Tamandua tetradactyla: one gene and its partners. The protein of the gene in region 2 interacts with the protein of the main gene of each other region in a biochemical or structural test. Links are inferred from orthologs where the notes say so. Each region holds a gene or a part of one and is shown on either strand. Other genes may lie near its edges.

What was found. The genes of interacting proteins can lie anywhere in the genome.
Region 1: the proteins of ERBB2 (region 2) and ABL2 form a complex in vitro, tested with the Homo sapiens proteins (3 studies listed by BioGRID and IntAct, with this or other methods). The link is inferred for Tamandua tetradactyla from reciprocal best matches to the Homo sapiens genes ERBB2 and ABL2.
Region 3: the proteins of ERBB2 (region 2) and RASA1 form a complex in vitro, tested with the Homo sapiens proteins (2 studies listed by BioGRID and IntAct, with this or other methods). The link is inferred for Tamandua tetradactyla from reciprocal best matches to the Homo sapiens genes ERBB2 and RASA1.

What each region holds. Positions count from the first base shown.
Region 1 is NC_135330.1:33,422,876-33,433,164, forward strand, and holds the start of ABL2 (tyrosine-protein kinase ABL2), read right to left. Parts: upstream 4,945-10,289; 5' UTR 1,225-4,944; coding exon 1,029-1,224; intron 1-1,028. UniProt on the Homo sapiens protein: Non-receptor tyrosine-protein kinase that plays an ABL1-overlapping role in key processes linked to cell growth and survival such as cytoskeleton remodeling in response to extracellular stimuli, cell motility and adhesion and receptor endocytosis.
Region 2 is NC_135332.1:27,583,118-27,593,406, forward strand, and holds the start of ERBB2 (receptor tyrosine-protein kinase erbB-2), read right to left. Parts: upstream 6,054-10,289; 5' UTR 5,778-6,053; coding exon 5,705-5,777; intron 1-5,704. UniProt on the Homo sapiens protein: Protein tyrosine kinase that is part of several cell surface receptor complexes, but that apparently needs a coreceptor for ligand binding. Essential component of a neuregulin-receptor complex, although neuregulins do not interact with it alone.
Region 3 is NC_135347.1:44,036,668-44,046,956, forward strand, and holds the start of RASA1 (ras GTPase-activating protein 1), read right to left. Parts: upstream 5,050-10,289; 5' UTR 4,962-5,049; coding exon 4,441-4,961; intron 1-4,440. UniProt on the Homo sapiens protein: Inhibitory regulator of the Ras-cyclic AMP pathway. Stimulates the GTPase of normal but not oncogenic Ras p21; this stimulation may be further increased in the presence of NCK1.

The DNA of each region.
Region 1 (10,289 bases), on a different chromosome or scaffold from region 2:
TTGTCAGAATTCTACTTTATCTGATTACAACATTCTCTTAGAAGTTACTAATATTTTTACCTGTTAAAAACTATGTAAGGTAATTAGATAAATTATTCAACAGTTTTTAATGTGGTTTAAGTTCTTCACATCAAGCCATACGTATCTTTTGGGGGAGGGGTACTGGTATTTAAAATTATATATTTTTATTGAGAAATATATACACACACAGTCCAGTTATACCGCATATTCAATGGCTCACAATATCATCACTTAGTTGTGTTTTCTTCACCATAATAATTTTTAGAATGTTTACATCACTTCAGAAAAAAAAAAAAAAAGTACTCATACATCCCATATCCCTTACTCTACCTCTCATTGACCCATAGTATTTCAATCTACCCAATTTTTAGCCTTTATCTCCCCCTTTTATTTATTTGTTATCCTTATTTATTTTTTATTCATCTGTACAGACCCTGGATAAAAGAAGCATCAGATACAGGGTTTTCACAATCACATAGTCACACTGTAAAAGCTGTACGTTTATACAGTCTTTTTTCATAATCAAAGCTACTCGAACACAGTTCAACAGTTCAGGTACTTCCCTCCAAGCCACGCCAACACACCATAAACTAAAAAGCGTTATGTATATAATGTGTAAGAATAACCTCCAGGATAATCTCTCAACTCTGTTTGAAATCTCTCAGCCACTGAAACTTTATTTTGTCTCATTTCTCTCTTCCCCCTTTTTGTCAAGAAGGCTTTCTCAATCCCTTGATGCTGGGTCCCGGCTTATCCCGGGGAGTCATGTCCTACATAGGGGGAAGCTATACACATCTTAATGCATTAAAATACTGTATATTATACATTCTTTCATTCAATAAGTATTCATTGAGATCATACTACAAATACCAAGAAAAAAGCACATGAACCGTCACTGATCAACAATGAAGATAACAATAGTAAAGATTAATTTTAAAAAATCTCCATTCACACTTGATTTCTGTGGTTACTTATCTTCCCCCCAAACAATCACCTCTGAACGATACCTGTGAAGTTGGGTAAAGCAGATTCTGAGGCCTCACTGCAGAGACAGCAAAGAGTTATATCCTCATCTCTGTCATAACCATTATGTGGAAGCAGGACTGTCCCAAGGATCATACCTCTTCCCAGAAGTAAAAAGTTCAAGTGTCCTATGTAATGAGGAAGTCTTAGAATTCCACCCTCTGACAAGCAATACCACATGCATGTGACAGTTACTCATGCATTTCAGCAGCCAGAAGAAACCAATCAAGGGGAAAGTATTGCATCTCCCAAAGTGGGTGGAGAATGAATGACCTAAAGGGAAATGTCTAGTAATAGCAAAAGATCGAGTCACAATAGAGTTATTTATTTATTTTTTACATGGGCAGGCTCCTGGAATTGAACCCGGGTCCTCTGGCATCACAGGCAAGCATTCCTGCCTGCTAAGCCACCGTGGCCAGCCCACAATAGAGTTATTTTAAGAACTATGGGAATATTCAAAATAAAGCAAAAAGCAAAACATGAGTAATAAATAGTTTAATAATAAAACAATCTGGGATTAGTTCATACAGTTGGGTATTCATTCCTAAGCAGATGATTAGGTGAGACTGCTGAGAAAAGTTTTCTTGGAGAAAAACCATTACTATAAAACAACGAATATACTTTTAAAAGAAAGGAAATGCCGAGCAACACTCACTTTTTATGTCAATTATATTAGCTCAAGAAACCACAAATCCAAAACCAAAGAAAGAGTTAAGATATGATTCACAACCACAGAAGCCCGGACATGATAGCCTTTGCTAAAATTTTGGCACTACAGCTTAATAAAGGTTAAAAACATGGCATGATAGTGTTAACTACTTTTCAGTATTAATAATTTAAAAAGTAAATGTCTGATCTTTGTTAATATATAGGAACAAAGTTAAATAAAGTCGAAGAACCTGAATATGAGAATACCTTATAAGAATTAAAATTTACAAATAGTAGATGTCATTAATGTTATGACCTAGAAATATAATGCCAAGAAGTGTTTGTGACTGTTTAGCTGAGAATATCCACTGATTCAGTAAATATTACACATCTACTATGTACCAGATTGATTCAATAAATATTTATTAAACATCTTACAGTACCAGGCATTGTTCTAGATCCTAGGCTAATCAAGATAACAGGGTAAATTTCAGAAAGTCAAGACTGAAATAGTACTCAATAAAACAGAAGCATAAAATTGTAATATAACTTGACTAGGGAAGAATGAATTTGATATAATTAGTTGATGGTTAACTTCTGGTGTCAACTTAACCAGCTGATGGAGCCCAATTGTCTGGTCAGGCAAGTACTAGCCTAATCGTTATTGCAAGAATATTCCATGTCTGGTTGATAAACCAGAAGGCTGGTTTATTTAATCATCAGTTAGTTGATTGCATTTGTGACTGATTACACCCACGATCAACTAACGGTGTGCCTCCCACAAATGAAACAACCCAAACAGTTGGATTTGATTCAATCAGTTGAAGACTTTTAAAGGAGAAAAGAGAATTTTCACTGCTTCTTCAAAGCCAGCCAGCCAACTTCTCCTATAGAGTTCGTCAAGACCTTCAATGGAGTTGCCAGTCTCACTGTCTGCCCCTTTTGGACTCTTGCATTTCTGTGGTGGCATGAGATATTTTATAAATCTTGTATTCACAGGTATCTTCTGTTGGTTCTGTTTCTCTAGAGACTCATAATACATTAGGCTTTTTTTTTTTCCAAAGCTAATACTTTCAACAAAATTAACTTTAAAAGACTGCTACCGGGCAGGCCACGGTGGCTCAGCAGGCAGAGTTCTTCGCCTGCCATGCCAGAGACCCAGGTTCAATTCCTGGTGCCTGCCCATTCCAAAAAAAAAAAAAAAAAAGACTAGGACTGTCATCCACCTGAGGAAAGCAAAAATTAAATGACTAAAGTAGTAAGTCAGAATTTCAAACAACATATTGAATTTCTCCTTCCCTGGATTACAAAAATGTAAAGGGAATGTTTCTATCAGCTTTATTTGTAATAACCAAAAAGTGGAAACGACCCAGATGTCCTTCAGCTGGTGAAATGTTCAACAAACTGCATACCTAAACCATGGAATTCTACTCAGCAACAAAAAGAGAATAAACTATCGATACAAGCAACAACCTGAATCAAACTTTAATGGAGTATACTGAGTGAAAATAGCCAATCTCCCCAAATTAAAAGCCATATGATTCCATCTATATAACATTCTTGAAATGATAAAATTATAGAAATAGAAACCAGACTAGTGATTGCCAGGGGTTAAAAAGCTGGTGGGTGGGGCAGAAGAAGAAGGGGGTCATGTCTAGGGCAACAGGAGGGATCATTGTGGTGATGGAAATGTTCTGTGTTTTGACTAACAATGTCAATAACTTGGTTGTGATACTGTACTGTAGTTTTATAAGAGTTGCGTTAAAATGTGGGGAAAGCAGAGTAAAGGGATTTCCCGCTAACACTTCTTGCAACAGCAAATAAATCAAAATAGTCTCAAAAGTTTAAAGAAATTACAATATCCAAAATATACAAAGAACCCTTAAAACTCAACAAGAAAATAAACAACCCAATTAAAAATGGGCAAAATGATCTAAACAGACATCTCACCAAAAAAGATTCACAGGTAGCAAATAAGCATATGAAAAGATACTTAACATCATATGTCATTGGAGAACTGCAAATTAAAATAACAATACCAAATACTGATATGGCTGTGAGGCAACAGGACCTCTGATTCACTGCTGGTGGGGATGCCAAATAGTACAGCCAATTCACAAGACAGTTTGACAGTTTCTTACAAAGCTAAATATAGTCTTACCATATAATAATACAGTGAGCCACCCTTAAAAATTGCCTCAAGTGAATTGAAAACTTATGTCCATATGAATCAAGCACATGTGATAAAGGGGGAAAATTCAACTTCTCCAAATGGAGAATTCTTGATATTCTCACAAGCAGTGGGGACAACCAAAGCAATAGGCTGAGCCCCCAATCTTGGAGTTTGTTCATATGAAACTTAACCCTGCAAAGGATAGGCTAAACCTACTTAAAATTAGGCCTAAGAGTCACCCCCGAAAGAAACTCTTCTGTTGCTCAGATGTGGCCTCTCTCTCTCAGCCAACATGACAAGCAAACTCACTGCCCTCCCCCTCTCTACATGAGACATGACTCGCAGGGGTGTGGACCTTTCTGGCAACGTGGGACAGAAATCCTAGAATGAGCTGGAACTCAGCACCAAGGGATTGAGAAAACCTTCTCGACCAACAGGGGGAACGGCAAAATGAGACAAAGCAAAGTGTCAATGGCTGAGAAATTGCAAACAGTCAAGAGGTTATCCTGCAGATTATTCTTACGCATTATACAGATATCACCTTTTTAGTTAAGGTGTAGTGGAGAAGCTGGAGTGAACTACCTGAAAATGTAGAGCTGTGCTCCAGTGACCATGTTTCTTGAAGATGATTGTATAATGACACAGATTTTGCAATGTGATTGTGTGATTGTGAAAACCTTGTGTCTGGTGTTCCTTTTATCTACCTCATCGACAGACGAGTAAAATGTATAGATTAAAAATAAATAATAGGGGGAACAAATGTTAAAATAAATTTAGTAGATTGAAATGCTAGTGATCAATGAAAGGGGGGGTTAAGGGGTAGGTACATATGAATTTTTCTGTTTTATTTTTCTAAATTGATGCAAATGTTCTAAAAAATGATCATGATGATGAATATACAACTATGTGATGAAAGAAAAGAATGTTCATATTGTATGTTGATTGGTTTTATTAATAAAAAATTTTTAAAAAGGTGAATGGATACATTGTGATACATCCATACAATGGGATACTATTAGCAATAAAAAAATGAGGGTGCACAGGTGGTTCAGTGATAGAATGCTCACCTTTCATGTGGGAGACCCAGGTTCGATTTCCAGACCATAAACCCAGGAAAAAAAAAAAAAAAAAAAAAGAAATGAGCTATCAAGTCACAAAAAAGACATAGGAATCTTAAACTTACATTGCTTCGTGAAAGAAGGCAGTCTGAAAAGGCTACATACTATTTGATTCCAATGTTATGACATTCTGGAAAAGGCAAAAATATAGAAAAAGTAAAAAGATCAGTGGCTGCCAGGGCTTTGGGGTGCGGAAGAAGGAGGAAGGGATGAATATGTAGAACACAGGCCACTTCTAGGGCAGTGAAACTATTCTTATTGATATTGTAAATTCTATACATAACATTACACATTTGTCAAAACCCATAGAACTGTACTACACAAAGAGTGAACCCTAACATAAACTATGGACTTTAGTTAATAGGGGTATCAACATTGGTTCAATTGCAACAAATGTACCATACTAATAGAAAATGTTAATGGAGAAATTGTGTGCAAGAGACAGGATTACATGGGAACTCTCTATACTAACTGCTCAATTTTCTATAAACCTAGAACTGTTATAAAAATAGTTTTATTAACTTCAAAGAAAGAAATTATAGACAAAAAACCTCCCTTAATCCCATAGTTCCCTCCAAATCTTTCCTGAACTGCAAACTCATATGCAATTGCCTCATCAACATCTCTTCTTTTCTATTCAATCAAAGTTTCATATATTCAAAACTTGAAGTACTGACGTCCTGTTCCCCAAAGTCTATTCCCCCTCAGTAAATGGCAATTCCATTCTTGCAGTTACTTGGCCAAAAACCTCGCACTCATCTTTCAGTCCTCTCTTACATTCATACCTACATTTAATCCATCAGCAAATCCTGAAGGATCTACCTTCAAAATTTATCTTGACTTCAACTACTGCATACCATTTCCACAGCTACTTTCACAGTCTAAGCCACTTTCGCCTACATTACTGCAATATACCCTTAATTGGTCTCCCTCTTTTGGCTCTGGCCTCCTTCAGTCTATTTTCAACATAGCGACTAGAGAGACTCTTAAATCCTAAATTATATTACTCTGCTCAAAACCCTCCATTGGTTTCCCATTTTGCTCAGAATAAAATTCAGATTTTACTATTTTCTACTAGGCCTTCCATTCAATCCCTTTCTGAAATCATCTCTGGCAACACTCTCTCCTGGCTAGTCACTGGAAACCTTGCTTCAGGGACATTACATTTATTTTTACCTTTGCCTGGAATGCTCTTCCTGCAGATTTCCACATAACTTAGCTCCTGTGTCATTTATCACTTTATTGCTTCTTTATTACATGTTCTGTGATAATGGGTGAAATTCCTTTAAGCATTATTCCTTTACAGTGAGCATAATGTTAAGCTCTCTCTGTTAGAGGAGTCTAGACGGACAATGGAGAAGGAAGGAGCTTTCCTACTGTTTCTGGCAGCTGCAGCATTGGTCAGCAGTGTGGATGAGGCTATCTAGCCTCAGGTTAAGCTGCCCTAGCCATGTACTCAGAAGACATGGTGGTTTCCTTGGCAACCTTGTCACTGGCCTCACTCAATGTGGACATCCCATGATCCAGGCTTCCTGTCTACATAAGGACCCAAATTCGCCTACTCCCATAAATTATTCTCTCATAACCCTCCTGATTCTGAATTCTGACATGAACATCCTGTAGTCCATGCCTTGTGTCTGTCCAGCTTCCCAACTTTTTCCTCCTTACCAGCATCTACTGGAGTTTGTTTTCAGCTTCCCTCCTGATACCACAGCCCTCCCCATGATGAACACCATGCATTCTGGGCCCCCCACCCATACTGGTATTTCCATGTCCACCGCACACTGTGTGCCTGGCAACCAGCTATGGCTCACCTGCACCTCAGAGGATTACTTTTTACCTGCCAAATGACTGTTTACCAGAATATCTGAACCAAGCAAACATTCAACTTCTCACCCATCAAGTGGGCTGCAATGACACCTTCTCCAATAAGGTCTGAAATCCCCAGGGAGGGATCCCTTTTTCAACTTTGTCTTAGCTTGGGTACTCTACCCCAGCCTTAGAGCAGCATCATATAGAGTTCTCTTATAGCTTTTGATTCTTCTTTTATCATGGCTTAGTAATTATTTTTAAATCACTGAGTTGTTTCTGACTCCTAATTAAACCCAGACTGATACAGTTCCTTTGTTCCTGCAGGGCTGACAGGCATATATAAATAGCAAATCTCCTCCCACTGTACTCTCTGTTCTTTTTTCTCTGCTTTGTTTTTCTCTACCTGATATATATTTATTTGCTTAATGTGTCTTCTCCCACTAGAATGCAAACTCCATGATGGCAAGGCCAGACAAATAGAAAGCATTCAAATACGTGGTGAATAATGAATAAAAAGCTCCAATTTAAATTTTTTTCCACCTTGGGTACTTAATGTAGACTCCCACAAATCTTCATACTTTTCACATAATTTTTTACCTACCTTTTGCTCCCCGGAGGAGAAAAGTTTTGTTTTGTTTTATTTTGGGGGGGGCAGGGGGGAGGAGGGTAGCAAAGAGCTGTACAGGCACTAAACAGGGCTTTGGAGCCAAGTGCACCAGTTGAATCATAAGCTCAAGGACAATGAGACTATATTTGGAGTTCCATCTAAAGTCTTTGGTGTAACCATTAGTAGAGTCAATTTTCAATCATCTGGTGACAGGGTAATTGGTTTATGGATTAATCAGAATGGAGGGGAAGTGCATCTGCAAAGAAATTTAAGTTATTATGAATTAACAAAAACATCTATTTATAAAAAAGATGACTTCCTTTGAATTACATAGTAACCAGTAGAGGCCACACAGCCTCTAATGGAATATGATAAAAGCCTTCTCCCTTGGTCATCAATCATTCATTCATCCAACAAACACATATTATATTATCTACAATATACCAAGTACTACAATAATACTGTCGTCCTCAGAGATAGCAGTTAGCCACACATCAGAAGCAAAGAGAAGAACATATCCAGGCAGGTTCAAATATCCTAAAGAGACATTTGTTGCAGGAGACAACTGACAAACAAAGGGAAAAGAGAAGTAAGTAAGCAAGCAGTAAGCACTAGGCTCAATCCAGGCCTTATTCTAATACTGGATAGAAGGACAGTTCAGCCAAGAAGCCTACAGTGTTAACAGAATATTTTAAAAGAGGGTAACGTTTGTATTGGCAAAGTCCCTTTAGGGATGGGACAAAGACTATGGAACTAATAAACTTTATCATCAGGGAATCCCCTGATACTGTGTCAAACTTCAGGGACACCCAAATCAATAGGCCAAGCCCTTGATCATGAGGCTTACTCTTGTGAAGGTCATGCAGGTAGCAGAGAAGCTTAGCCTACCTATAGGCATGACTAAGAGTTACTTCTGGAGGACCTCTTTTGTTGCTCAGATGTGGCCTCTCTCTCTCTAAGCCCAACTCTGCAAGTGAAATCATTGCCCTCCCCACTACAGTGGGACATGACATCCAGGGGCAAAAGTCTCCCTGGTGGCATGGAAGAGGACTCCCAGGGATGAATCCAGACCTGGCTCCATGGGATCAACAATTACATCCTGACCAAAAGGGGAAGAAGAAGTATAATTAATAAAGTATCAGTGGCAGAGAGAGTTCAAATAGTGTCGAGAGGTTACTTTGGAGGTTGCTCTTACGCAAGCTTCAGGTAGACCTTGCTACCTATCATAACCTGCCAACCCCCAACCAGGACCATTCCAGCCAATCCTAAAGAACATCTAGGGCAATATATAAGATTCCAAGGGTTCCAGGCACTAGGATAACTTTCCAGAAACCTACAACCTCCAGAAAGGTCCTTGATCCGGATAAGTCCTAAAACCTAGCCCAGCCTCTCTAGAACATCAGATAGTTACACCTCCTTACTCCATTTAGTGACAGACCATTCCAATATGAAAAATTTTAAATCGCATAGCCCAAACACCCCTAAAAAGAGGGATGGAAAGATCAAAGGTGATGGTGGAGTTATACAGAGAAGACAGGATTTAACAAATGAATATGAATATTGAATCATTAAATTGATATCTCTTTTAGTCTCCAATATTTTAGAGTAGCTAGAAGTAAAAACCTAAAATTGTAGAACTGTAACCCATGTTAAACTCTGAGATATGTTCTGCAGCTAACTGTCCTGTGCTTTGAAATTTATAGCTTTTTTATACATGTTATTATGCATTTAAAAAAGGAATAAAAGTCAATTTGTGATGATTAAAAAATATTTAAACCTTCTAACCTCCTATATTCTGTAGCAGCCAGAAGGAAAAAACTAAGAGGATCGTATGGTAGACCATGACAAACTCTGTGATCTGTCCTGTAACTACTTGGTGAAGAGCGCTTCGAAAACTATTGCTTTTTTATTTCTTTGCTTTGCAGATATGTTATACTATACAATAAAAAAAATTAAAGAAGAAAAAAGAGGGCGACTTTTTTCCCTGCAACAGATGATGTTCATTCATCTTAAACTCTTGCACTGATGTTATTTTTGTAGTCTGAGGTGACATCTATAAATCAGTGAATGTGTTCTTAAATATTAGGTAAATAATTTGCTCTAGTTTGCTAGCTGCCAGTTTTCTGGCTTTTAAACGGCTTTTAAAAAGGGGAATTTAATAAATTTACAGTTTAACAGTTTACACAGTTCTAAGGCTGTGAAATTGTCCAAATTAAAACAATTTTATAGAAATATCCAATTAAGGCATCCAGGGAAAGATACCTTGGTTCAAGAAGGCCAATGATGTTCAGTGTTTTTCACGCTCAGCGGGAAGGGCACATGGCGAACATCTGCTAGCTTTCTCTCCAGGCTTCTTGGGTTTTCATTCTTCATCTCCAAAGGTTGCTGGCTGGTGAACTCTGTGGTTCTCTTGTCCTTCTGTGAGGGATCTGCAGCACTCTCCCTGCTCTCAAAAAGGAACTCTCTCCAAAATGTCTCCTCTTCTTACAGGATTCCAGCAAACTAATCAAGACCCAAATAGAATGGGTAGAGATACATCTCCATCTAATTAAGTTTAATACCCACAATTGATTCACATCTCCATGGAAATAACCTAATCAAATTTCCAGCCTATAGTGCTGAATAATGATTAGACGAAACAGCTGCTCTCACAACACTGATTAGTATTAAAACATGGCTTTTCTAGGGTACATAAAATTATGTATTGGTTTGAAAGGATTTATCTAAGTAAATTCACATTAAAAACATTTTGTTTTTGTTTTAACATCTTTATCTGCACTTTTCTCACTTATCTTCTTACCAAGCTTACCCTACCTAGGAAACTGAAAGTTGCTATTTGTGGTGCTTACAGAAAAACTAATAAAATCTATCACAAAACGAAACTGAA
Region 2 (10,289 bases):
ACGGTCAGCTGGAGTCATGGCTGCAGAAATGGGGGCAACCAAGGACCCGGTCACTGCAGGGACTTCTGGAATTCCCCAAGGCGAAGGAGCAAAGGAGCATCATACCCCAGCTATGGGCATCCAGACCCAGACTGCAGATCCAGGGCCAGCATGATGCCTGCTTCAGATGCTGGCACCCTCCCCCATACCACTCCTCAGGGCAAGACTCCAGAGCCAGCTGGCAGAGCCCATGCCACGAAACTCTTGCCACAAAGGGCACTACATCAGCCCTGGGTACCTATCCTGGTGCCAATCCTCAGTCAAGGGATGGCAGGATGAACTGCCATCACTGGCCCACCCGCCCCCGAGCCTGGTGTCCCTGGGACCAGAAGAATCCCCGAAGCCTAGGGATCCTAGAGGGGGTAAACCACCCCCGGGGTGCACGGTGCGCGCAGGGAGGCAGCTGGCATCCTGCCTGCCAGAAGGGGGGTGATGAGCCCATGCCCAGTTGAACCCGTTTTTCTGCTCTGGTGAGATGAATCACCTGGCATGTCTTGCCCAGGAGGGTGTGCAGGAGGGGTTTAAGGGAGGTGGAGGGCACCCTCAGATAGACAGGCCCACAGGTGCCTGAGCTTCCTGGAATTCCCATCAGTCACTGCTCACCTCCCGTGGACTCTGTGTCTATTTGAGGGGACAGCACAGTGGCTGGCTTTGAGGTCTGACACCAGGGCCCTTACTTTCCCAGCAACTTGAGTCCAATGACATCCTAATGTGATGGCTCTCTCCCTTCAGAGAAAGGCTGGTGGGACAAGGCCCCAGGTCTCTGCCAGGCCTGGTGGCCATAAGCTGGTAATCTTCCCCATAACATCCAGAGGGGTTTCTATTTCCACCCCTCTGGGCAGAGAGGGAAGGAAGCAAAAAAGAAGGAAGGGGAGGGCCCAGAAATAGAACTCAAGGATTCATCTCCCAGGCTGAAGAGAGACTGTCAGACCTCCCTTCTCCATGCCTCACCCCCTCTCCATGGCATCCCCCTCCTTCCTGAGCCCCTCCCCCCAAAACTCCCAAAAGAAACAGGAGCCTGGGATGGCAGGCCAGGCCCAAAATAACGTCCTGCTGCCAGGACCTTCCCCGGCCTCGGCAGTTTCAGCTGCTTTACAGGCACAGCTGTCTCGAGGCCCAGACCCCAGGCCCTGGCCCGAGCTTGGGGGACAGGGACCAGCAGGTCTGGGGCAGGGACTGTCTCCACCCCCTGTGGCCCTCTGCCACCTCCAAGGGACACCAGCTGTAGCAACCAGGCAATAGGAAAACAACAACAATGGGAACTAGGAGCAGCTGCATTAACTGGGCACCTACTGTGTACCCAGCAGGCAACCTGGGTGGATCCCATAACAACCTCCAAGGGCTGGGAATTCCATCTCTATTTTGCAAAGAAGGAAACTGAGGGTGACAGGAGTTAGATTCTCCCAAAGACACAAAGCTTGAACTTGGGTCTGTCTGACTTTAGATCCCACATTCCTTCCATCAGGCCTAACTGCACATGCACAAATACACCCCACATGCCACACAAACATAAATACACACTCACTCGCCCAGTGCCACGGATAAACATTACAGACTCTGAGCAGGGCATGGAGGCTGGGCTAGGCATGGCTGGGCAGGAGGATCAGAAAAGGTGAGAGCCCGGCCCCACTGGAGTTTGTTTACCTGATTTATGGTCGATTCAAGTCTGATTAAGATTCTTTTGCAGAAAAGGTGGTAAAATTGTACCTTGAGACCTACTCTCAGGGAGCTGTAAGCTTGCTGGCTAACACCTCCACCTGGCATGAAGGTAAGAAGGCCTTTCCAACCTCCCCATCTTCCTCTTACCCCCCACCCCGCTCCACACTAATTTCCCCATCACCAGTCCTCACCACAGATCCCATACTACCTGCCACTGCCCCCTCTCCCATTTATTTTCTTGAGTGCTAGAGGTCCTAATTTCACACAGTCACATTCTTTGTCTCCAGGACACCTGCCCCCCAGAAGCCCCAACCTCCAACCCTCCATGGCAAAGACGTGTGAGGCAGGACCAGGCCAGAGGCAGGACAGGGCACACAGAGAGCTGGATAAGTGGCTGCTGAATGAATGAGCAGTCAACGGTGTTCAAGTAAGACGGGACCAGTGGAGGTCATGGCATCCACCCCTCATGTCCCTTCTGCTGACCTTTGGTGGTCCCAGCCCCAGGGGTCCTCAGGCAGGTCCTCTCCTCCCCACCAGCTTTCAGCCCCAGCTGCTTCTCTTGCTCACCAGCATGGAAGCCAGCACTTCCTTTGGTTTCTATGAACATCACCAGGTAAACTTTTACATGCACCCTCTCACCCCCACCCAAGACTCATAAGCCCCGAGGCCAGAGCTTGCTGTAGATACTGTAGCCACATATGCTGGATATATAGGGCCTAATATCAAGCTCTTTGGAGTGGAACCCTAGCTGGGCCACTCAACAGTGACTTTGGGCAGGTCCCTAGACCTCAGGAGCCTGGGATTCCTCATCTCAGCCCTCGGGGCAGGGGCTAAATCAGATGCATCTTCCTGCTCTGTGGTGCCTGCTACCCTATAGATATTCAAAAGATGAATATTCACTGACCTGAACTTGGCAGTGAGGAAGGTTATAAAAACAACTCTTGGTCTCCTCAGAGAAGTTAAATGAGAAAATGAACAGAAAAAGCAGTCTATAAACACAACAAGGCTTTGTCAACACAAACCTTAGCTCTAATAATTCTCACACTCCCCCAGGAACCCACACCCCTCACCCTGCCTCGGCCCTCTTCCCAGGGGTGGGGAGGACAGGTGGCCAGCAAGAGATGGAACTATCATTCCAGAGTGACTTCGACTTCCCACGGGCTGAAGGTGGGAAGGGGGATCTTTTTCCAGATCATTCCACCACCCCCCACCCCCAAGTCAGACAGTCAGACACAACCACTCTGGGCCCTACCCAGCCACTCAGCCCAGCTCCGCACTGGTCCCTCATACTTCCGCCCCAGCTGTCTCCCTCCGCCCACAGTCCTGCATGACCCAATGGTCTCGGCCCTCAGTCCCCTGCCATGATGGGAGGGCTCAAAATCAAAAGGAAGGCAAGCATGGGCTGGCCTGGGAGGGAGAGGACCCCGCAGCCGGGAAGGGAGCTCAGGGCCCCAGCTCAGGATGGGGTGGAGGAAGACAGCCCCACTTTCTATAGCCTAGATAAACCGATGGGAGGTCATCCACCTGAATGGGCTTTGCTCAACCCATTCCCGGGGAATGGAATAAGTCTCTGATCTACTGCTGAGACCTCCTCTCTGGAGCCAAACATGCCCTGGACGGTACTGATTAGCTGGCTTGAATAAACCGCTTCATTTCCCTGAACTTCAGTTTTCCAATCTGTGCACATACTTCGCAGGACCTTTGCAGAGGTGAAATGAAACTGTCTGTGGGTAAGAAGGTGACACGTAGGAAACACTCAGGACATTTTTTAAAGTTAAGGCAGAAGCATGGGTAATCCCAAACCAAGAGAAAATAAAAAGTGCTTCCTATTTGACATTGGAATGGGATAGATGTTTTCTTTTGACATTTGATCCTATCTTTCTATTGTTTTCTCTTGAATATTAAAATGAGGTCACTTTCCCTAAGTATAGTAAAAAGAAGGAAGGAGGCTGCTGGGAGAACGATTCTGGAAATAATAACATATGAGCTGTGCAAGATAAAAAGGATGTGTTTGCTGAAATTTTATAAAACCTTGCAGAAAGGATCTCAGCAAAATCCTGACCCTCTGAGCCTTCCCCAAGTCTCCCCTCCACCCCATGTTCCTGCCCCTTCCTTCAGCCATGGACAATAATGGGGGTGCTGGAGGCAGCTGGGTGGTGGGCTGCCATTTTAGCCAATCCCTATACAACGCACCCAGAGTCTCTCTCTGCACCCCACAGTGCAAGCTGAGGGGTGAGGGAGACGCGAGGAGACCCCAGGAGACAGCTCCTCAGATCGCTCTGCAGCAACCCCGCCGCTCCCCACCTGCTCAACTCCCAGGCCAAGGCAAGGAGGATAGCAACTCGGCCCGATCGCCAAGCCTGGCCTCACCCTTCTCCTCAGAAGGTCAGGGGTGAAGACGTCCGCCTGGGTTCAGGGAGAAAGAGGACGGGCTCACCGGGAAAGAGGCGCCTCCTTCCTCAGAGACAAGGCAGGAGGCCACCTCCCGCTGTTTACAACCGATCTAGCCCAGCACCTTGAGGGAATTCCTTGAGAGGGCAGAGTTCAGCCCAGTCCCCAAGGGGGCAGGGAGACTGCTGTTTGGCAACACAGAGCAGAGACATACAAACACTCAGTCCACACAACTCAGGAACACCCTGGCAAAAGCGGGCAGCTTCGGACACCCACAGGAACTCTCCAGACAACACAGCAATGCCCAGACAGAGGGGCCCTCAGGCAACACGCGGCCCACACCAGACTCCCTGACCCGGGGAGACCACCCACTACTGTCGGAACACTCTCATTTTGTCTTCCCTCCAGCCCGGTGATGCGGGTAGCAGCTCCCACCATTCAAGGGGGATTGATTTCCCCTTTGATTGAATATAGTGATTTTGAGAATGAGGCTGGGGGTCAGGCTGGCTGGGGTCAGGGGTGGGCCCCACCACTTCCCGGCTGTTACTGAGCCTCCTTACGGTCCAGGTCTTCACCAGGACAATGGAAACAGGACTTCTCCCACTGGGTGGCTGAGGGTGAAAGGAGGGAATGCGCACAGGACGCCATACCAGGACCTGACATAGGGTGTACCACCGGGACACGTCTGCGTTTCTCAGCATCACCTACAGGTGGGCAGATACTCCTCGCAGAACACACCTCGCCCCCCACATCACCCTTCCCCACACAGGGCATGAAAGAAAAGGCTGCCAGACAGCCCAGCCTCCCCCACAAGAGCCCCGGAATCCCTCCCTCGGAACTCTCCCACTTCAGGTCCCAGACCCACCACCGCCAACACACACACGCTCCCAAAGTCACAAAACACCCAGGCCCCCAGTCAGTTGGCCCTAAAGAAACTTGTTCAAAACGACCCGCCTCTCCCTCCCCCTACTCCAGACCCCAGCATAAGGCAACTCTGCAGCCTCCTGCCCCCCCTCCTCCCCCTGGGCTGGACAGGTTGCTCTCCCCGCCTCCCCCCTCTACACCCGGACCCTGCTTGGAGCTGGAGTCACCAAATTCTAGCTGCTGGAGGGGAGGAGGGGAGGAGGGGGGAAGGGCTGGGCAGGGACAGGGCGGAGGGGACCCCCAAAGGAATCCAGCCCAGACCAGTCGGGAGGCGGAGGCTGCCAACTGGAAAAACTGCGAAGGCTTCAAGGGGTTCAAGAAGGGGAACACACACACACACACACACACACACACACACCACGCACACCACGCAGTATACCCTTGGGGGAGAAGCTTTCTGAACAATTCCAAAGGACTTTGCTGACAAGTTCGCAGAGCAGTTTGGAGTCTGGGAAGGGCCAGTCGGTCCCTCGACTACGGCTGCGTGGGTGCGATCGCCCCCCTGCCCCAACTACTTCGCCCCCTCCCTCTGTCCCAAGGCCCGGCCACCCCGAGCGCCCCGAGTGCCCACTACTCCAGGTCGGGACAGCTCGGGTGTCCCCTGCCCCCGCGCGTCCGGGGAGCTCTCAGGGGGGACGCAGGCTGCAGGGGCTTCTGTCGCTGCTCCATCCCCTCCCCACGCCAGACCCACCTTGGGTGCCCGCGGCTCTGGGGGGCAGCAGGGCGAGGAGGAGCCCCCAGCGGCACCAGGCCGCCAGCTCCATGGTGCTCACAGCGGCTCCGGCCCCATGGCTCCGGCTGGACCAGGCTGGGGGGCGCCGGGCAGGCGAGAGAAGGGGGCCGGGCGCTCCGCGCGGAACCCGGCAGCCGGAGGAGGGGCGTGCGGAGGCCTCGGGGGGCTTCTTCTCGTCTCTCTGGCCACGGTCGAGGGAAATCTCAGCTCCACAACTTCATTCTTGCACTTCCTCAAGGCAGCCCGTCCTCCTCCACCTCCTCCTCCTCCAGTGATTGGGAGCGAGCGCGCTCGCAGCTCGCCCCCCCCCCCCCCCAACTGCATTCCAGCAAGTCTCTGGGAGTGGCAACTCCCAGCTTCACTTTCTCCCTCTCTCCGCGCAGGCCTGCCGGGGGCCCCTCCCAGCGCCCGGACGCCTGGGTTTCCTACAGCCGATCCCAACCATTTCCACGAAGAACCCCTAAAAGCAGAGGAGAGGGGCTCGTCCGCCTCTCCCCGGATTCTGGGGCCAATTCTTTAAGGCCCGGCTGCCATCCCTTCCCTCTCTTCTAAGTTGCAGGTTTATCTTAAACATTCCTGGCGTGTTTGCATCCTACTCCATCACATGCCTATTTGTCCTAATATCAAATAATGGTTTTCCCACCATATCCTCAGGTGAAATTGGTACTTAAGGAAGGGGATGCCTTGTGTTTAACTTCTGGCTTCCAGGACTGCCTGGCATAGCCTCTGGACTCTTTTAGCTATCTTCCCTAGTCTAAAAAGCTGGTTGTAAGGGAATCTACAGATTTGAGGAGAAGAGTTCAAATTAGAGGGGACTTCAGCCGCATCCTTCAAAGGATATACCTCTTGTTTCTTTATGGGGCTCCCAGTCCCCAATTCATTCAAGGTTTCTGCTCTGTCCCCTGCCTTTTGTTACCCTGTTCCATTGCAGCTCCCCACCCTGCATTCCACCTGGACCCCTGACCCTGTTCTTAAGACCCCGAGTGATGGGGGAGGAGAGGGGGTTGAAAGGGAAGGAGGCATGTTTTTGTTGGAAATTCCCACAAAGTAGTGCGTGGGACACACGTATAATAACAAACTATTCGTTGTTTATCTGAAATTCAAATTTAACTGGGCTTCCTTATTTTATTTGCTAAATCTGGCAAGTCTTCTTGGAATACCGTAGCCAGGAGCAACATCTGTGCTGACCAAGAGGGGGATCAGGACACCTGCTGGGGACTGGAGAATGAAGGACACTAGAATTTCTTAGTGCTTACTTGTGCCGAACACCTGTGGGAGGCTGAGAGCAGCAGGGGCTCTGGGATCAGAATGACCTGGGTTCAAATCTCTGGACTCTACCACCTGTTTGTTAGCTTTATGACTTTGGGCAAGTGACCGAGTCTTCTGAGTTTGCTCATCTGTAAAATAGAGTCTGTAATGGCATCAGGCCTACTGTGCTAGGGGGTAAATGAAATAACGCTCCTGAAGCACTTAGCACAGGACTCGGCACATAGTAGCTGCTCAATAAATCGACTGGATTTCCTTCTACTGGGGCAGAACCGGGTTTTGTGGGGCCTGAAGCTTATATGATGTGGGAGACGCTCTTTAAGAAAAGAAGTACAAAGTTATGAATACAAATTTAAGTACAATGACGGTAGCACAACATTGTGAATGTAATTAACACCACTAAATTATATATTTGAATGTGGGCAAAGGGGGAAATTTTAGGTTGTATATATGGTACTAGAACAAAAATTTTAAAAAAACCTAGGACTGTACAACACAAACAGTGAACGCTAATGGACCATAGAGTATAGTTAATAGTGTAATTATGAGAATATTGTGTCATCAATTTAACAAAGATACCACAGTTATACAAATTATTAGTAATAGGGAAAGTTGTATGTGTGAGGAAAGGTGTATATTTTCTGCATGATTTTTCTGTAAACCTATAATTTATTTTTAAAAATTAATTTTTAAAAAAAGAAAATAATTAAGTACAAAATTATGCACATATATGCAGATAAGGGGCCTGAAACTGTAACCTTTCTTAACCCTATGGTAAATCCGCCCCCGCCCCAGCTCTAACCAGTACTGTTCAAACCGCAGGTCAGATTCATCATTAGAGGGCCCCGAAACCAATTTAAATGATTAAGACTAGACTTTTGTTTGTTTGTTTGTTTTAAGAAATAGAATGTAATAGAAAAGATCGGCGCACATCCCGTGGAGTAAGAACATAGTAAGGGTAAGTGTGGTTTTGTATGTAGTTTCCAGTTCGTGATGTAAAATGAATTTATTCCTTGGATTATAATCACAAATGTTTGGAAACACCATTGTTCCTGGGGACACAATAGCCCGCCAGGACGGGCATCAAGATTCCTGTTTTCTCTAGGTGTTAGAATTAGAATTAGAGTTAAGTAATTTGCCCAGGGCTGTTTTAGGGTTAACTAGGAAAAAGTTGAACATCCAGCAAAACCAGCCCCTCTTCCCTAAGGAAGAGGGTATAGGATTTAGTTAACTTGCCTCAAACCCACAGCATCTCAGCCCCTCAGGGAGAAAAGGTGTTGACCTGGTTCCAAGAGTTACTTGGTGGTGAAATATTCGAGGGAGGGCTGGTACGTGGGTGATCGCACGTGCAGCTGGTGGGAGACCATCAGGATATTACCATAGGGTCAGGGTTTGAGGTGTCCCTTTCCCCTGGAACATGCTTTTCCCCAGCCCTTGTGTTAGGAAAAGCTTGTGCAGCCAGGAAAGCTGCTGTTGTACCATCCTTTATTGGATCCTTCTCTGTGCCATCCTCTGTCCTACATCCACCTTCCTTCTCACACTGGCTCCTCGAGGCACCAGGGGTGGCTGTTATCATTCCCCATTTTACAGGGAAGGAACCCGGAGATCCTGAGAGGTAAAGGAACTTGTCTAAGACCACACAGCAGAGGCAGAACCTGAGGCTTCTGAAAGCTTTGGCTTCATCCATTAGTTTCGAGAGCTCTGAATCAAGGGGTACCATGAACCCCCCTGGGGTGGGGGAGCCAGAGGAGATTTCTCAGGGTAAATCCCTCCTTCTACAAAGAGTCCCTCCCTCTACCCCTGCCCTGCCTCAGCAAGCCCCCCTCTCTGCATTGGAGATCTTAAGAACAAACCCCTGGCTGGCATACAAGGCTGCCCAGAGGGGCGGAGCCAACCAGAGACCGGGCAGAGAGGGGGTGGGGGGGAGGAGCTGGGGTCAGAACTCACGCTGTGGGGAGGAGGCTCGAGAGGGGCCGAATCTACTAGAGAGAATGAGCCCATTCAGAGCCAGAAAGGAAGGGGAAAAAACCTTGTCTGGTGTTTGACAAGAGGAGAGGAAGGGGGGCAGGGGTGGGCGCTGCTGATTTGATTCTCTCCTCTGCTGCCCCTCCCAGCGGGGCCTGGCAGGAGAGCCATGGAAAGAGGATGCCTGAAGGACAAAGACAGTGGGGGAAACATCAGGGAGCGGGATAGGGCCGGTTGTTGGAGGAGTTTGAGAGGGGCCTAGAGTGAGGGAGGCTGGGTACCAAGGAAGGGCCTGACTGCAGGTCAGAGGGTAACAAGCCAAGGGCCCGAGGGGCAGATGCATGAGATTTGCCTGAGAAGATCTTTGGACAACAGTTACTGGGCCTGTGGGCTGTGGAAGTGGCCACCAGCACTGAAGAGGCCCAACGCGAGACCCTGACTTATAGAGGTGACCTCTGAGGGTCTGAAACCAACAACCTGTGAAATGCCAATCAATCATTGACCAGCCACTGAAACTTGGGGGCATGTGAGGCTGTGTGTGTGTGTATGTGTTTGTGTGTGTACGCCTGTGTGTGTCTGTGTACACCCTGGAGTCTCCTCCCCACTGCCTACCTCACTAGCCAGCCAAGGGTCAGAGGATTGAAAACAAACAGAAAAGGGGAGGGGAAAGTCCACAGTCCGAGGTCCAGGCCTCAAGCCAGAGCCTACCAGGCAGGGCCTCCAGTCTGGGGCACGGGTTGTAGAGGAAGTGTTGGTATGAATTCAATGGAAGGAATCCCTGAGAAAAGCAGGCACAAGGCCTTCCTGGGGCCACAGGAAAGTAACTTGGAAGCTTCTGATAAGAAGACGGATCAATTCACTTGTAGCCTAACCACACGGGAGACTGCTCCCCAGGCCCAGGGTTAGCGAGTGGGTAGAGGCCAAGCTCACCAGAGAAACACCAGCCTTGTTCTTGCTGATGATGGCCCTTAGCTCTTCTCACCTGTCTCGGGAATGCAGGCTCAGGAGGCGAAGAGATTGCCCTTCTCTCTCCCTTTCTCTCCCTGGGCTGCTTTGCAGAAACAAAATGACTCTTCTGTCCTCCACCTCACCTGGTTTAATGCATGGCATGAAGGCAGAGTGCCTTCCACCCCAGCCTCTGCACACAGGGCTGTCCTGGGTGCGTTTCTGTGCCCTCATTTTTCATGAGTGGGTCTCTCCTTGGATGGTAGCTTTGCTGTGTGGCCTTGGATGATTCTTCACTTTACCGTCTGAAATAGGAGAAAGTTGGCTTGGATAGTTCCTGGTCGGTCACAGTGTTTTAGGTTTTGGT
Region 3 (10,289 bases), on a different chromosome or scaffold from region 2:
AACTGCCAACCAAGAATTCTATATCCAGCGAAACTGTCCTTCAAAAATGAGGGAGAAATTAAAACATTTTCAGACAAAAAATCACTGAGAGAATTTGTGACCAAGAGACCAGCTCTGCAAGAAATACTAAAGGGAACACTAGAGACAGATACGAAGACAGAAGAGAGAGGTGTGGAGAAGAGTGTAGAAAGGAAGACTATGAGTAAAGGTAAAAAGAAGGAAAATTAGATATGACATATAAAATCCAGAAGGCAAAATAGTAGAAGAAAGTACTACCAGTGCAGTAATTTTAGCCTTCTGCTGCTCTGTACCTGAGTAACTTCATGAATCCCTTCAACCCACTCCAGGCCATAGATAAGAGTTCAGTAGGTCAGGCTCTTTACTAAGAACCAAAAGTTAATACTCATTTAACTCAATTCTTCTTCATGTGACAAAGTCATTAAGCAAAGGGCATAGGAAACAATGACCTCCTGTTCAGAAAAAATTAAACAGGAGGGGAAAATACATTCCACTCTTCTTTAAAGACTTCAGTGATCCTAATGAATACAAATTTCTCATTCTTTGGCACACATCCACAACCAAGGACCCTTTGCTCAGACTTCACTCATGACATATATTTTAATCTAACCTATCTTATAGTACTTGATTTACTTAACTTTGTTCTAAATCTAAAACTCCCCAAAAGAGGGATTCATTGAAAAAAAAAAAGAGGTATTTTATTCATTGTTGTTATCACTGAAGCATTAACGACATTGTTCTACTATTCACAAAAATACAATAAAAATCATCTGGGTCCTCGTCAGCAACTACTCTGTGTATAACTAATATTTGTAATTCTCACCTCCATTTTTATTAAGAAACGACTCACTCAAAGTTGTACTGCAGTCAGTGACAAAGTTAACTGACCTTACGCGTCCTAACATTACAGCAACTGTTTGACTTAATTTAGAACGGTTTTATTTTTGCAGAGACTACAAGATGATTTTTAAGGAAAAGAAAGGTACTATTTACATTCTTATACATTCCCTTACTTTTTTTTCCTTCAAGTTTCAGGACAGTAAACCCGGTAAACTGGATATTTATTAGTTCAGAGTAAGAACAAGCCAGGTGCCAGGCAAGCAATATCAGAAGCAAAGCAGGCCTGGAATAGATTATGGCAACTGGAGAGCTCAGAACCCACCTAAAAAGGGAGACTACTATTCAGCTCTAGTAATCTACTGTCATGTAGAAATACCCACCAGATATAGCCACACCCTGTGATCTTTCAAGAGATGCTAGAAATCCAGACTTCTTACATGTGAAATCACTCTATTTTTAAATGCTGGGCAACTAATTATTAAATATTCCAAATATGTAAGTACAAGTAATAGGTATCTGTGTATTTGTCATTATAACTACAGTGCTAAGCCCAAGAGCCACATGGTACTGTAGCCTCACTGTTAAAAATCTCTACATATGGCTGAAGGTGGACTGGGAGAACAATACTTCTTTACCACCACCTTACCCCTATGGAAAAAAGAAAGAGTGAAGCAGCTCCACAAAATTACAGGAAATGCCAGTGACAAACTCCTTTAATTTAACCTTTTCTCTCTAATGAAAATGAAATTAGCAGTATTAGATACAGAACCCTTCATAGCAGAAAAAAAAGATGAGATGAATTATTTCTCTTTTAAAAGTTTTTTTCTCAAAACTTGGTAAAAGGAAAATATTCAAATAAATGTAATAGTTAAAATTAAACTTTTCCAACCCTAAACTAATGAAAATACTCAGTAGTAAATATGAAACTAATGAGTCACAGTGCACAACAGAAAATCAAGGTACAAAATACTACTACTGTTAATACATTTGCACTGGTCTATCTACATACTGTCACTTGACTCTCTTGTGACCAACAATACAAAATCAGCTGGATACAAAGTTAAACTCTGTGACTAAGGAACCTTAGTCTAACAAACCATTTCTGGACTCAAATCTGTGATCTGAACCTCCTTAATACCTAGATGCTATCATTAACTAATGTGATTAGTCACTATTAATCAAATATTAATTTAGTCTAAAAATATTTCTTCAGTATTTTTTCAAAAGATTTGACATTTTTAACTAAGTTAAGACTTTTCTCCTCTTCAATTTAAAAATAGGAGCTTATAGAAAACACTTGAACGTCACCACTGAAATTGCTTAACCTATTCCTGGAAGCCTTTATTAAGCTAAAAAAAATGTTAATATAAGTAATCACGGTAAACTTATAGCACATAGTATAAGTTTTTGGAAATCAAAAAACATTCTCTAAGGGTGGTGGCAACAGTGGCTCAGTGGCAGAATTCTCGCCTGCCATGCCGGAGACCTGGGTTGGATTCCTGGCGCCTGCCCATGCAAAAAAAAATGGAGAAAATACCTTCTCTAAAACAGCTATTAATAAGGGAATCCCTTTAACAAAAGAATTAATAGGCAATATAATGATTAAATTATACTATTGTAATTTGCAGGGATTATTTACTGAACACTTACTATATGCCAAACACTGTGTTGAATACTTTCAGGTTTCTCATTAAATCTTCAAAATGACCTTACAGGGGAGGTACCACTATTATCCTCATTCTACAAATGAGGAAACTGACCTTTCCAAGATCACACAGCTACTAAGCGGCAGTCAGGATTCCAACCCAAATGTTGTCTAACTTCAGAATTTGCAAGCTTAACCACTATACTGTATTGCCTCCAGTGACTGAGTTGATATCTAAGATAAAGAAAAAAAGGAAATTTGTACTCCTCAGTGGCAAATTTTTAAAACATAGTAGAAATGGGATACTTTTTAGAACATGAAAAATTCTCATAAATATAGCCCTATTAACATTTTTACTCCGGAACACATATAAGGATAGAAATCTCACACAACAGACTTCTCACAAACATGTTCTATGTTTACTATTAAATACGTTTACGTTTACTGAAAATTTAGAACTATAATATCAAAAATACGCCTAATTCAATTTAGCTGTGAAACAGCATAAGACTAGATTCTGTAGATTCTTTCAGTATGAAAAACTGCACTTTATTGTTAACTACCATGCCAAGCACTTAGTGGACACTCAAATATTCAACTGACTGATTTTTACAACAAAAATTGGAAATTTGCAAGTACTGCTATAAAATTACAAATTTAATAGCCTCAGAAAAGTCTGTAATACATAGATAGGATAAATAAATTGGAATAAAATGACAGGACAAATGAACTTTGCATTAATATAAAGGGAATACAACATCCCCATACTATAGCTGGCATAACTTTACTTTTGTACCTTAAACATCAAAAGATGTAGCCTTAAGTCAAAATATGGATTATTATTACAGAATCTTTTCCTAATCAGTTTTTAAGTCCTTTCTAAATCCTTTAAAGAAGCTTATTCAAAACACTTTCAACTGTCCAGTGATTATCAACATCTGAACTAAGTCTTTTTTCTTCTGATACCAAATTTTTAAAATTCTAAATGTCAATTAAGACTAATGTCAGGGATCCATAAACAAGTTTTACCTATCACCACTTCCCATGTCAACATTTTCCTCTCATCAACATCCATTTTTATAAATACACACCTAAGTCCATTTAAGAAAAGAACAAGATGGGTAATGACTTTTTAAAAAGTCGTTTGTCCTATATACTCTGCAGTAGAATGTCAAACAATTTTCAAATACAATACTAAAATGACCACCAACAAAGGGTTAAAGGGGAAGCACTATTAATTCTGTCTTGCTTCAGCACTGCACTTATTCAGCTATTAAAGAATTACTAATATTAATAAATACCAATTCAATAGAACAAGTTACAGACATTTTTAGAGTGTGGACACTTAACCACACCTGTAATTCACAAAACTCCTTTCCTGCTTCTCTCTGACACAGGTTTTCATAAGTGGTTCAAAGACTTTATTTTTCCAATAGACAAAAATTAGGATTTGCAGTACAACAAAAACAAAACATTCTGACTCATGCATTTTTCAAATGATTTTAACCCAATACTTAAATACTTGTAATTCAAGTATTCTCACTAATCATCCAACTTCAGCAGAGAACACATACGCAGGCTAATACAGACAATGACTGCCTTGGTAGCTGCAATCTCAGCTGAATCCCAGTCCACCACCTGAATTTGGAAGGGGTAGAACCATATCCGGTTCTCACTGAATACACATTTTCCAAAGCTTCCCATCTTAAAAACTTTACATCTTCCCAGAGGAGCAATAAACACACGAAGACGCCAGGGAGCGTGCCTGTAGGGAAGATGAGTGATCAAATTAAATCCCCGCACATGGAACCTGAAGCTTCAAAACTTTTTTTCAAAACAAATAACAGCTGAAAGAACAAGACAGGTTTCCCTCTGCATGCCCCACTTCTTTCTTAGAGCCAGCTTTCCTGGTTCCTTGAGCAGCAGTTTTGACTTACTGGTTAGTTGGAGGAGCAGTCAGGGGGATGGCCACTTCTTCCTCCTCGTATTCTGGTCCATCCAGAGAATCACCTTCGTCCACTGTTCCCAGGCCCGCGCCCAGGGAGGGGAACGGAGGAGGGGGCGGCAGAGGGGGGAATCCTCCTCCTGGCCCGAGGGTCTCGGCAGGCAACGAAGGGATCCCTCTGGTGAGAGCCATGTCCCCACCAGGTCCGGCAGCAGCAGCAGCACCAGCCACGCCAGCAACAGCACCTCCCCCTGTCAGTCCGGCTCCCCCCAGGACTCCCGCCACGGAACCGACTCCTAGGAACCCTGATGCCAAAGCAGCTCCACCACCCAGAGTCCCGGCCACTCCGGCTTCGGCCAGCCCAGGGTAGGGCACGGCTGTTACCGGCAAGGCCGCGGGTATCTTCACCCGACACACTGCCGGATAGGCGCTGGAGCCCGCAGCCCCGCCGCCTCCTCCTGCCCCGGCGGTCACCGGACCGCCCTCCTCGTTCCCGGCCTCGGCCGCCATCATGTTGAAGCCCGCTCTACTCGGCCCTACCCTGCCCGCCCGGGAGCCCCGGGGGCCAGCAGGCCCGGGCTCCGAGTCACCCCACCCAGGCGCGTCCCCTCTTCAGCTCCCCAGGCGGAGGAAACAACAACAAAAGGAGGGAGCCCGCCGCCGCGCCCCCTCCTCGGGCCACAGCCCAGGCTCCGAGGCTGCCCGGGTTACGGGAAGCGAAGTGGGCAAAAAATCCAACGCCTGCACAAATGCCGCCCAAACCTTCACCTCACACACCCACACACGCACACACACACATGCACAGAAGCGAAAAACTTCCTGACTGCACTAAAGAGGAAGGGGAGCACAGGAAAGCGGCTGGGGCGGCCGCCGCTCCTTGAGCCGCCGCCGCCGCCGCCGCCACCGCCTCTTCACCACCCGAGTTCCGGCCACCCCCACCGCAGCCACCGCCGGTGCCGCTGCCCGGGCTGGGGCCACTGCAGCCGCTTCATCCTCCGCGGGGCTGGAGATGGGAGGGGTGTGGAGAGGCGGAGAGAGGGGGGCGGGGTGGTGGAGAAACCGGCGCAGCTGCTCGCCACCGCGAGCTCACAGTTATCTAAACCCGAACGAGAGAAAGGAAGGCGGGGCGGCGGGGGCGGGGCGGCGGGGGGGAGGAAGGGCGGGGTCGGAGGGAGGCGAGGCCAGTCTGTACGCACGCGCGAGCCCGGGGCTGGAGGAAGGGAAGGACGAGTGGAGAGGGGAGGGAAGGAAGCGGCGGGAGCGTGCGGCGCGCGCCCTGGCTCGTTGTCTTCCCCCGGTCCCGGCGCGGGGCAGCCTGGCGCTTTCGCCTGTCCTTGTCCCCCGGCGGCGGGTGTCCTGTCCTTGCTGCACCTCTTGCCGGACGGGACGGCGGCGCGAAGGCAGGCCGGTGCGGTCCCCGGGGACCGCGGGAGGCCAGGGGGAGGGTACCTGAGCACCTGCCGGTGAACGCCGTGGAAACCGGAGAGACGAGAGGGACGAGCTTGCGGTAGAGAGGAAGGAATGGGGAAGGACAAAGGAAGATGCGGAGGAGTCAGTTCCTTCCTTCTGGACCGGTAGAAAACAAGCGGCCTTAGCCAGCGGAGCCGGGGCTCAGCAGTGGACGGGCGGGTGGCTGCGGCGAAGGCCGAGGCAGGACTGTCCATAGTTTATTTTCGTTGAATGATGTAAATTAAAATATGACTATTACAAACTAAAAAAAAAAAAAAAAATTCTGTAATTCAGGAAAAAGCGAAAAAGATAAAGGGGACCAAACGGGGAAGGTGGAAAATTTTGGTAGAAATACCGGTAGTGAAGTCCGACTTCTACCAGTGTATGTGAAGGTTTTGTTTTCTTAACCGACCGTGTCACCCAGACACTGGGGTTTACCTGTGCTGCTGCAGGTCTGTTAGGGACTGAGGAGGGGTGGGACAGGAGAGGGGCCGCAGCCTCCGCTAATCAATGCGCTTGTGTCCGTGTTCCGCCTGCAGAAGACTGCAGGGCATGTCCTGCAGTGCATACATGAATGACTGGGATCCTTCCACAAGGCAAATGTCAAGTAGATCCCAGAGTGCAAGTTATATATAACTTTAAAAGTTAACAATAAACTTGCTTCATATATGTGGAGGTAGTTTGCTGTTTGGGATTCATGTATTTTTCTTGTCTTTTAAATTCCCCCCAGGAGGGCTACCACACTGAATATCATTGAATATTGGCCTTTGAAATCGATATTTCTCTGCTAAGGATGATCAAACCAATATAGAAGCCAGAGAAAAAGGGAAAAAGCTACTTAAATGACAAGGCATACTCAAGACTTTTCTTTGATTTTAGAATTTGTGTAAGCCTGTTTACCAAGTCATTGGTAAGCAAGCTCTTGATTATAATAGTCCTGAGTGCCATTATGCTTACTTTTTCTCCAGTGTACCAGCTGAGAGAGTGAGGAGGGACTAGACCCCAGAGCTGTAGTTATCAAGGGGTCGCTTCTGATCAATTATTTCCAAGGAACTTAGAAATGCAAATTCTAGGTCCCCACCCCAGGCCCTCTGAATCAGAAACTGTGGTTGATAGAGCCTTGGAGTCTGTGTTTTAAGGAATCCTCCAAGTGATTTTTAAACTTAAAAGTTTAAGAACTACTGCACTTGAGTATAGTATGCTAGTCATGAATGAGGTATGCAATACCTAAAAACGTTTTGAAAGAAAGAATACAGGAGGAAGCAGATTCAATGACGTTCATTAGAGGGTGGGTAAGAGAGTTGGGTATTGGGTTGCTAACTATTCTAAAAAAGGAGGTTAGGAACAAAAAAGACCAGAACGTAGTAGTTCCATAACGCTGAAGGAAATAATAAATGACTATGTCTGGTGGCCTTTCTGAGAATAGTCTTCCTTTTATTTAGACTTAGAGCCTCAAAGTTAGAAGAGATCAGGGAAATATATATTTCACCTAAGTCCTAATGTATGAATCCGCCTAAGTCCTAATGTATGAATCCGCAGCAAGTTTCCATGTAACCTTTTCTTGAAGAGCTACAGTGTCTTAGCATCCTTCTCCTCCAACACTTTCTCTTAATTAAAAGTGATCATCTCTAAGTGATCCTACACCATGTGTATTATGTCTGAGAGCCCAGGTCAGGCTCACTCCCCTAATTTGTAGAATTGCTTCTGCTTTTTGAAAATTCGTTAGCAATTAAAGCCTGTGTTTTATACAATCTAACACCAATTATATACTAGCTTAAACTGTTTTCTAAACAGTTAAAGCCAGTGTTAGGCAGCCCCAACACACTGCTTTGAAAAGATCTCCATTCACATAACAAATACTAGATTATTTGATCAGCTCACATCTTTGGAAATCAATTTCTCAACTACTAGCAAGGATGTTCTAAGTCTTTTTGTAAATAACCTAGTACCCATATCTTACCTAGTTTACGTTTAGCTTTATAGTTGGCACTGTCCTTTTCATCCCACGCATTTTTTGACGAGGTATTTTCCAAATATTTTATATATTCTTATTATTGGACAGATTTAGGCCTTGGTTTTACTATTGTTATATACTTCCTTAATATCAAATGAGTCTTCTACCTTTAATGACTTCTAATTTCTTTTGAAAGAGTGTGATATTCCTGCCTCCTTTATCTTTGTTACTTTTTTCCTTTTTCTCCTCACCTTGACCTTCTGCCTTTCTCTGATTTATATGCTTATGTTCTCTTTTTTCCTACTGATTTCTCCCCTAATTCCTACTTATCGCTCCCTTTCCTCTCAACCCCCTAAACTTTCTGATAGATATACTTTATGTGTTTCATGAGTCCAAAACTGCAGACATTTTTTTTAAATACTATGAAAAATCTATTAAAATATTTTTTATATTTTAATATTTTAATAGACATTGCAGGGATTCTGTAGGAATTGGGGTGCTAGGTGTGCTCTTATACAATGTCAGTAAACGAAAGGAAGTAAACAGTCTGTTAAGTAAGTGCACAGAGAGTATTAAACAGGAGGTACTGAAAACAATATTCAAAAGAATACGGGGAAAAATTCAAAATAGCTTTTTAAGTTTAATAAAATAATCTGTAATAGCTGCGATTTTGGAAAAGTTACTGTAGATACTGAAATATGGTTTTTGATGAAGAATAAGTAATCAAAAATTCTGGGCAAAAACTTGTGGGTGAAAAGACATTGAAAATTTAATTTTTTAGAAAATGAAGCTGGCTCATTCTTTATTTATTGGCAACTCAAATATGAACATGATATACTACAAAATATTTTGCAGTTTTTATACCCTAAGTATGAGAAAAGGTAATTCTGAGTTAGTGATATAACATTGTTTCATACAGCCTCGAGGGATTTAGAGCAAATACATAAGTAGATTTGACTGGAAGACTGAGCAAGAAATAATATTTCGTTCCATGCCCTAATGCATACTCAGATGTATAAATAGGCTTCCAATTTTATCTAAATAGTGTAAAAATGTTTCACTGATGCAATAATTTTGAAAAGAAGCTTTTACTCCTAATTTGTAATATTCCCATTGCATTTGTTGACCTTAAAGTTCTCAAAAGGAGGACTGTAGGATGATGGCAGAATATTAAGCTCCAGGAATCAGTCCATCCATGAGAAAAACTGTTAAACAGGCAGCAGCTGTCTGAATCAGCTATTCTGAAACTCAGCAGTCCAGTAAAGCACTGTACTGTATCCACCGAAGAGCAGGAGGAAGAGGCTGCTGAATTATACTCAGATACCTGAAAAATGTTCTCCATGGCAGTTACCAGCATCCATCCCCAACTCTCATAGCAGGCAACAGTGGGGTGCAGTCCCTGCATAACTTTCTGGTGCCAGAAAGGGACATAAAAATCTACTTCGCCAAAATCTAGGGTGTGCACAGGCCAATGGTTTATCACAACATTTTATTAACTACTTCGGATCTCTGGGGGCCCAGTTCTAAGGGTGACCGTTGTTCCAGTGTGCCCTGAACAAAGGCAGTGGAGGGAATTTTAAGGCAGTATACTTCCTCAAAGCTGTGGAGGACAGTTGAAGGTCTGCATCTGCAGGCCAAGTAAAGAGCACAGCTTTGGGGAGCCATGGGAGAAGCTCCTGGTGCCCTTCCCTGCCCCTCCCTCAACTCTCTAAATGGCAGTTTGGAGCTGGCAGGCATTCCCTTTGTATGTTCCTGAACTTCTGTCTGGGAAAGACTGACTTGGGAAACTCCTCTACAGCGTGCCCCTCCTCCCAGGATTTGCCCTTTAGGCAAAAGAAACTTGAAACAAGGATAGGAGTGTACGAAACAATTAAGATAGATGACCTGGGACAAGGGCTTAACTGCTTAAGGCTAAGAGTGGGACATCCAGGAGAGGGACATCTGTCTCCTGAGAAGTATAGGGAGCATTCGAAGTCCTATAAACATGGGATCTCCTAAGGCCACCAGCAAGCACAAGCCCAAGACAAGACACAGGGCCAGAATAGGCAGGGATGACCCTACACTTTGTATTTGCTTTTGGCAAACCTTCCTGATGGGAGGACTGACATTCAAGAAAATTTTTGTCATATCACCACCTGGTTACCAACTCACGGAATGGAAATCTCATGGAATAAATACAAAAGATAACATTTTAGAGTATTAAAATATGCAGTTTTCAACAAACGGTTACCAGAAAAATAAACAGGAATAATTGCACATCCAAAAGAAAAGAGCAAAAATCCAGAAAACATCAAAGAAGAGCACACTGTAGACATAATGGACAAAGATTTGGTCTTCAATATGTTCAGAGAGGTGAAGGAAAATACAGAGAAAGAAATAAATTATATCAGGAAAAGCAAATGATGAACAATATGAAAATCTCAATAAAGAGAGAAAAA